Linked DNA regions of Notamacropus eugenii. The protein of the gene in region 2 interacts with the protein of the main gene of each other region in a biochemical or structural test. Links are inferred from orthologs where the notes say so. Each region holds a gene or a part of one and is shown on either strand. Other genes may lie near its edges.

What was found. The genes of interacting proteins can lie anywhere in the genome.
Region 1: the proteins of RARA (region 2) and TRIM24 form a complex in vitro, tested with the Homo sapiens proteins (3 studies listed by BioGRID). The link is inferred for Notamacropus eugenii from reciprocal best matches to the Homo sapiens genes RARA and TRIM24.

Annotation. Positions count from the first base shown.
Region 1 is NC_092874.1:110,703,697-110,707,440, reverse strand, and holds the start of TRIM24 (transcription intermediary factor 1-alpha), read left to right. Parts: upstream 1-1,403; 5' UTR 1,404-1,540; coding exon 1,541-1,934; intron 1,935-2,635; exon of another isoform or gene 2,636-3,744. UniProt on the Homo sapiens protein: Transcriptional coactivator that interacts with numerous nuclear receptors and coactivators and modulates the transcription of target genes.
Region 2 is NC_092873.1:355,853,314-355,857,057, reverse strand, and holds the start of RARA (retinoic acid receptor alpha), read right to left. Parts: upstream 2,497-3,744; 5' UTR 2,386-2,496; coding exon 2,208-2,385; intron 1-2,207. UniProt on the Homo sapiens protein: Receptor for retinoic acid. Retinoic acid receptors bind as heterodimers to their target response elements in response to their ligands, all-trans or 9-cis retinoic acid, and regulate gene expression in various biological processes.

The sequences.
Region 1 (3,744 bases), on a different chromosome or scaffold from region 2:
AATCCTTGTTTCTGTGTTGTTTTTCCACAAGGAAAAGTTGACAAATAGTCTCCCTTCTGGCTTTTTCTACTCTATTATGCCTAAAATTCAATCCTATGATCTCGCTTCAGGATTAAAAACTTTTTAAAAGAAGCTCAAAATTTTTTCTTGATCAACTGTTTCAACACATGCTGGGAATCCAGGCATTCTTAAGTGAATCCCTTGCAGCGTACAATCAGCATAAAAGAGGATTGACTCAATCCATTCATCTCCTCACTCTAGCTCACCCACAATTCTCCCCACCTTTTCCATTCATTATTCTGGTTAAAAAAAAAAAAAAGCAGATTGTGAAAATCCGTGGACCTCCTGCCTTGAAAAAACACCCCCTCACCTCTGTTTTTCCCTAGGAAGGTTTCTCTTCATCTCCTCTGATCCTTTCACTCCCGCACCCCGTCCAGACCTTTATTTCCCTTAAAGCAAAGGTTCTCAACCTGGCTTCCATGCACTTCGTACACATGTACAATCTGAATGTCAATATGCAGAGTGGGTTTCTTTGGCAATCCTATGCATTTTATTTTATGCATCTAATACAAGATCCTGGAAAGGTGTCGGTCCACAGGCTTCCCCGGATTGCCAGGGGGTCCGTGCCGCAGGAAGGTCCCTCGGCTGTTCATCTGAACACAGAGCGCCAGGAGGTCGCGCCCCCCACTCTACCGCGCCGAGGGCCGGAGGAGAGTTCTCTCGGGCAGTTACTTATTAATCACAGCTCCCAGCAGGGAAGGCGGGGGGCGGGGGACGCTCCGGGCAGGGAGGAGCGCCGCGGGGGGCGGGGGAGCTGGGGGAGGGTACGGAGTTAGGTGCGAGGTGGTTGGACGCGGGCTGGAGGAGGGAGGGCGTCACTCAGGCCGGGCCAATACAACAAACAGAACCCTCCGTCTCCTCCGCGGTGCAGAAACCGCCACCAACAGCCCAACCGCCGCCGGAGTTCCGCGGAGAGGAGGCGGGGCCTGCGCTTGCCCCCGTCCCCCTCCCTCCTCCCCGCTCCCTCTCGCGGTCCCCTCTCCCGGGGCGAGCCTGGGTAGTCCCGGGCAGGCTCCGCCCCCTCGCGAGAGGCGGCGGTCATTGGGCTGCGGGGCTTTTTTTGCGGTCGTCCTAGTTGCGAGGAGAGGGCGGAGTCGGGGAGGAGGCCGCCTTCGGAGGGCGGGGGAGGCGGGAGGTGGTGGTGAGCGGCCGGTCCGGGAGCGGAGCCGAAGAGGGAGAGTGCCCGGGAGAAGTCGAAGCCGGGGAGGGCTCCGGGATCGCGTCGGCCCGGGGCGAGGCTTCCCGCCGCCGGCGAGGAGCGGTGCCCGCGGACTCCTCTCCCTCCTTCCGGCCGCGACACCGGGGAGGCGGCTTCCTCTGCGCCTCCCTCCCGATCCTCCCCGCCCCCTAGTCCGGAGGAGGAGGAGGACGGGGGCGGTGGTTGGGAGGAGGAGGCGGCGGCGGCGGCGGCGGGCGGAGACCGCGCTCCCCCTTCTCCCTCGGCGGCGGCAGCGGCAGCGGCAGCGGCGGGGACAGGACAATGGAGGTGGCTGTGGAGAAGGCGGCCGTGGCAGCGGCGGCGGTCGCGGCAGCGGCGGCTGCGGCAGCGTCGGGGGCCCCGGCGGCCGCGGCCCCGAGCGGGGAGAATGAGGCCGAGAGCCGGCAGGGCCCGGACTCGGAGCGCGGCGGGGAGGCGGCCCGCCTCAACCTGTTGGACACTTGCGCCGTCTGTCACCAGAACATCCAGAGCCGGGCGCCCAAGCTGCTGCCCTGCCTGCACTCCTTCTGCCAGCGCTGCCTGCCCGCCCCCCAGCGCTACCTCATGCTGCCCGCCCCGCTCCTGGGGGCCGCCGAGACCCCCCCTCCTCCCGCCGCCGCCGCCGCCGCTCCCCCCGGCTCCCCGATCTCCGCCACCCCACCGTACAGCACCCAAGGTGAGCGAGCCCCTTTCCCGCCGCGCGCGCGAGGCCCGGGAGGGGGCGAGCCGAGCTCGGCGGAGCCGCGCCGCTAGCTGGGGGAGGGGAGAAAAGGGGCGGGGAGGCGGGGGACGCGAGCGAGACACACGGCGGGTGAGTGCGTGCGAGTGCGTGCGGGTGTGTGGCGACCCTGCTGTCATGTCGCCACGGGGGAGGGGGGAGAGGGAGACGGCAGGGTCTGTGTGTGCGGGCGTGTGCCCTGCGCCCAGGGCCCTGCGCGCTCCCCGCGCTCCGCCGGCTTCTCCGCAGGCCGCCTGCCGGGGCACCCGGGCTGGGCTGCTCGAGTCTCTCGAGTGGCCCGGCGCCTTGTTCCGGCCAACTTTTTTCTGAACGCCGACCCCTTAGCGTCACTGCTCACTCGGTGTTCGCCCGAAGCTTTTGTCCGGGGCTCCGGGATCCCGGGAAAGTAGGGAAGTGCCTCGTCCGTCTTCCTTTATTCTTCTTCAATGGATGAAGCCTTCGGCCGGCGCCAGATCTGACGTTGGGTTTGGAGGATGGAGCCTTGGGCTTGGGTCCTGTGTGGGAGCTCGTTTCCTCGCGGTGCTCTTGCTCCCCTTCGTCGGGGACAAAGGGACAAAGTGACAGTGTTTCATTTGTCCTCCCGTGAGGGGGCTGGCGTGGACGGGCTTGGCCGTGGGAGAGGCGGGAGAAAAGTGAGTTCGGTGGGAGAGGGGTTTTTTTCTTTCAAGTGTACGTGAAGAAGAGCTGGAGGTGCTGGAGATGGACGGTTTCTCCCGGGATGCGGTTGGGTGTTTTGTTTTGTTTCGGTCAGTGTAGTGCGGGAAGCTTAACAGGTAACCTGGTGTTGCTTTTGGTACCTGTTATTAGATCTGAAACATTTTTAAAAGTTAAAAGCAAAATGTTGAATTTGATACAGTTGTAGAAAGCTTTTTGCGTTTTTGTGCTTTCCCCCCTGTTTTTGTATTTTCTTTTAAAATTATAAAAGCAACATTTAGGAAAATATGTTAACTGCTTTTCAAAAAAGGAAATAACTTATTTTTAACTCCTCCCATTTTTAGAGGAGAAACTCCATTTAACTTAGAGTAGTTAGTAGTTTCAAGGCAGTGGCTAGAGCAGTGGGCCTGGAGTCAGAAGACCTGAATTCATATTCGACCTGAATAGTTTTGTTAACCCTGGGTAGCTTCCACCTCTGCCTCAGTTTCCTGTTGTGAGTATTAAACGAGACCGAGATAATAATTGTAAAGGACCTAGCTCCATTTAAATGTTAACCATTATTAATTATTCTCATTTGCTAGTGCCCCCCCTCCCCACTGTACTTTGCGTTTTTGTTGTTAAGTCGTGTCCAACTCTCTTCACCTCGTTTGGGGTTTCCTTGGCAGTTACTAGAGTGGTTTGCCTTTTCCTTCTCCTGCTCACTTTAAAGATAAGGAAACTGAGGGGAAAGGGGGTTAGGTGACTTGGCCAGGGTCACAAAACTAGTGTCTGAGGCAGGATTTGAACGCCACCTAGCTGCCAGATAGGTTATAGTGCCAAATTGAAGTAAGAAGGGTTCTGAAGAATGCTTTTTATTGGAATAAAGTGAACTGTGGCTTTAACACTTCCACTTAGTTGTAGTGAATCAGCCTACCTATTCAAGATTAATCCTGGGTGTAAGGGCAATTGAAATGATTAAATCTTGAGGGAAAAAGAAGTAACTTTTTTTTTTTCCAAATAGTGTATTCTTCAGTGAAGCTGCTTTTAAAGAAAGAACATTTTCATGAAACTGTTTAGATCCCTAACCAGATGGAGTTAATTAACCTTCCATGAT
Region 2 (3,744 bases):
CAGTGCCAACTTAAGGAGGAATCAGTCCAGTCCCCCCTCTCAGCCCCACCTCCAAAGGCCTTAACCACTCAGGACAAACACCAGACATTCAGATAAAGCATATGGGCTGCAAGAGTAGGTGAGATGCAAAATAAAAGAGCTCTCTCCCCAATTGGGGTTGAGCTTTAAAGCTTCCATACAGAGCAAAGTGTACAGAGTGAAAACAAGACAGGAGACAATGAGATGGGAGAAGGGACTGAAGGGAGAAGGGAGACTTTGGGGCACGGGGGCGGATATCCAGAGTGGCATTCAGGAAACTTTCTGAGCAGGACCTGGGTTATCCCTCTGGGGACCAAGAAGTAGTCCCTCCCCCAAGCTGAAAACACCAATAGTAAAGTGGGAAGGGGGCACCAGAATGGCAGATACATTTGTCCATTTCAAATTGATTTAACAACAAGCATTTATTAAATGTCTACTATGTACAAGATACCTGAAAGTTCCCTGGCTGTGGGGGGAAGTCAGGAAGGAGAATGACACAGAGACAGAGGAGGAACTCTAGGGAAGGTCAGATGCTGTGGGCAACTGGCCAGAGCAAGTAGGGTGGCACCATTCCAGGGTCAACTTCAGGGACAATGAGACTGCCCTGACCCTAGGAAGGCGAGTACTGCCCTAATCCAGAGAAGGGAGCATTGACCCAGGGCAGGGAGCAGAGAGCAGTGTTGCCAGGTGCCCCACTGGTGCCAACAGGAGAAGCAGTGGGTGTCTGTGGCAGTGTTCATCCTGGGCAGGCCAGGGAAAAGGCATGTGGGATGGAGGGAGGAGGGAGAACAGGACATTTCCCAGGTCAACAGCTGCCCTGTCCATCCATCTCCCAGCCTCTGTTCCCTCTTCTCCCCGCCCGGCCAGGCCCCAGATCCCTCCCCCTCCTGACTTGGCACTGTGCCCAGCTCGGCCCTAGGGGCCAGAGTTACAGTAAGAGGCCTGGCAGGCCTCTGGTCTGAGCTATGCCAGCTGGCAGCCACTACTGCCACCTCCCACTACCTGGCTTCAGACAGGCCAGGGGTGGAAGAGACGCCCACCTAGCCCGTGCAAAACTCTCATGGGAAAGATAGAGAGGAAGGGGGAAATGGGGGAAAAAAATCAGAGACAGAGCAAAAGGGAAGAGGGAGGGGCCTATGTCTTTTCCTTGCAGCCCAGCTCCCACCCATGACCAAGGCAGAGCTTTCCTCCCTGCCCCCGCCCTCATGCTGTCCCCAGAGCTCCTTCCCTCCATTGCCTAGCTCACCTCAATTCTCACCAGGTTTATACCCACCACCTCCCTCCCTTCACGCTCCACTCAAATAGGGGAATTAGTAGCAAGGTATGTATGTAGGGGAAGCGCGCTGTGCTGGCCTTCCTCCTACACCCTTTAGGTACCCTCATAAAAAGACACCTGGTACAGGGGACCCTGAGGGTAAGGATGAGGGAGGAGGGCATGTGGCTGCCTCTCCAGGTCACAATACTGTTCCCGCCAAATGTCGAGAGGTTTGTTTATCTACCAGGGGCCTTTGTCTGCTGCCAACCAAGCTATTTATAAGATCCTCAGTGAGGTGGAAGGAGGGAAAGCCGGGCCGAGAACGCAACACAAATGGCCCTAACCTTTCTGCAGCCCTCCAGCCTAGCACATACTTTGGCAGAGTCCAGCAACCCAAATTATAATAGAGGTTCCTTTCCCATCCCTAGATGGGGCCCCTGCAAGCTTCGAAGGACATTCCCTGTAAAACAGGCAACAGTAATAAACAGTATTCATATAGTGTTTCGAAGTTTGCAGAACACTTTCCACATCTGATCTCACTGGAATCTCACAATAGCCCTGTGAGGTCAGTGCTATTATTCTTCCCATTTTACAGATAAGGAAACTGAGGCTGAGAGAGGTTTAAGTACTTTCCTAAGGTCACACAGCGAGTGTCTATGGCAGGATTTCAACTTGAGTTTTTTCTGATGCCAAATCCAGAGCTCTATCCAGTGTACCCCTTAGCTCCCCCAACAGCTACGTCCGTTATTAGCCACTCTTTCTTTGTCACTCCCTGACTGACACCCCATCCTTCCCAGTGTTTTTATATAACAAAACCACCACAAACCATCCCCTCACAGAGCTCTGATGATAAACCACCAGGTTCTCCTGTGATATCTGAGCCCTCAATCCCACCCATCCCCACCCCTCATTCCCACTCTGTGGCACAACTTACTGGCTGGTGACGGAGTGCTGTACCCACTGACAGGAAGCTGGTGCTGGATACTTGTCAGGGTGCCAGGTGGAGAAAGTCCGCCCAGCATGGGAGGGAAGAAGAAGGCATAGTGAGGCACTGGGTACCCATTAAGGTGCCCACTCCCAGGCGTTGGGCATGAGCTGCTATTGCTGGCCATGCCCTGATGACAGTCAAAGATACAGACAGAGAGTCCAGTTGGGAAGGTTTGAGGGGCTTCTCAATGCCCCTTCTCAGCTCATTGGGGCCTGGAGTTGGGAGGGGTTGTGGGTGATCAACCCACCCCCTCTTCCTGTCCTGCAGCTGAAGAGGGCAGTACCCCACAGGGTGATCTTGGCCTTCTGGAGCCACCGCCCAAACCAGGGGCAAGGTGGCAAAGGGAGGGGAGGGCGCTGCTCAGGTCGGCTGCTATGATAAGCTGGAATGAGGCTTGGAAAGCTGAGGTAGCCTCCTGAATGGCACCCACCACGGCTGGCTGTTAGGCAGAGTATCGAGCGAGGTATCCTCACCTAGATGAACTCTGATGACGCTGGTGCTGCTGGGGAAGCCATGTCTTCTGATGCTGAAAAGGAGAAGACAAGACAGGTGAGTAGGCACAGAGAACAGGGCACAGGGGTTTTCTCTACGGGGCTCCCCCCACCTGGGCAGCTGGAGGTTTTCCCGTGACACCAGGCTAAGCAGACAGATGGCACAGTGCCTGCCTGGCACAGACAACTTGGGAGTGGGGCCCAGACACTGCAGAGGAAGAGGTGAGGGTGAGAACATTCGCACAAAGAGCAGAACTTAAACCTTTAGGAGACACCTCTCACCCTAATGTGGCCAAAAGGCCTGTTGTGCCTTGAAGGCGGGGTCCCTGGAGATCAGCAGGGGACATGAGGGAAACACAGCTGGACCTAGAGATCTCCCCAAAGAAGGGTTACCTAAGGTCACAGATGTAGAGAAAGCGTGGGGATGGTGGAGGTAACCGAGGGAGGGGAAGGGGAGAGAAGCTGCTTCCCTAAAGCATGGTACTTCTCAGAATCGTGACGCAGCAACCCTAGGGGCCTCTTACACCACTTCCCCCACCCCAGCCCCAAAATCCAGGGACCTAACACCCTGCATGGGTGGGGATAGGGTGGGGATGAGGATGTTTAGCCTGGAGAAGAGGAAGATGCAGGTGGGCCACAGAGCCGTCTTCAAATATTTGAAGGCTGGTGTGTAGAAGGGGGGTCATGTTTGTTGTCCTTAGCCCCAGAGGCAAGAACCAGGAGCAATGGGTGGAAATTGCCAAGAAGCCAACACAGGCTTGATGAAAAAAAAACATGCTAACAATTAAGGATGCCCAGGAGAAGAATGGGTCACCTAGGAAAGGTAAGTATCTCCTCACTTGAAGTCCTCAAGCACTGACTGAAGGGAGCCAAGGGATTTACTGGTATATATTTTTACATGGGAATCAGGCTAAAGGGCTATCGAGGTCCCTTCCAATTGTAAAATTCTATGATTCTGGGGTCATTTTGACATTCCCTGCCCCAAACCTTAA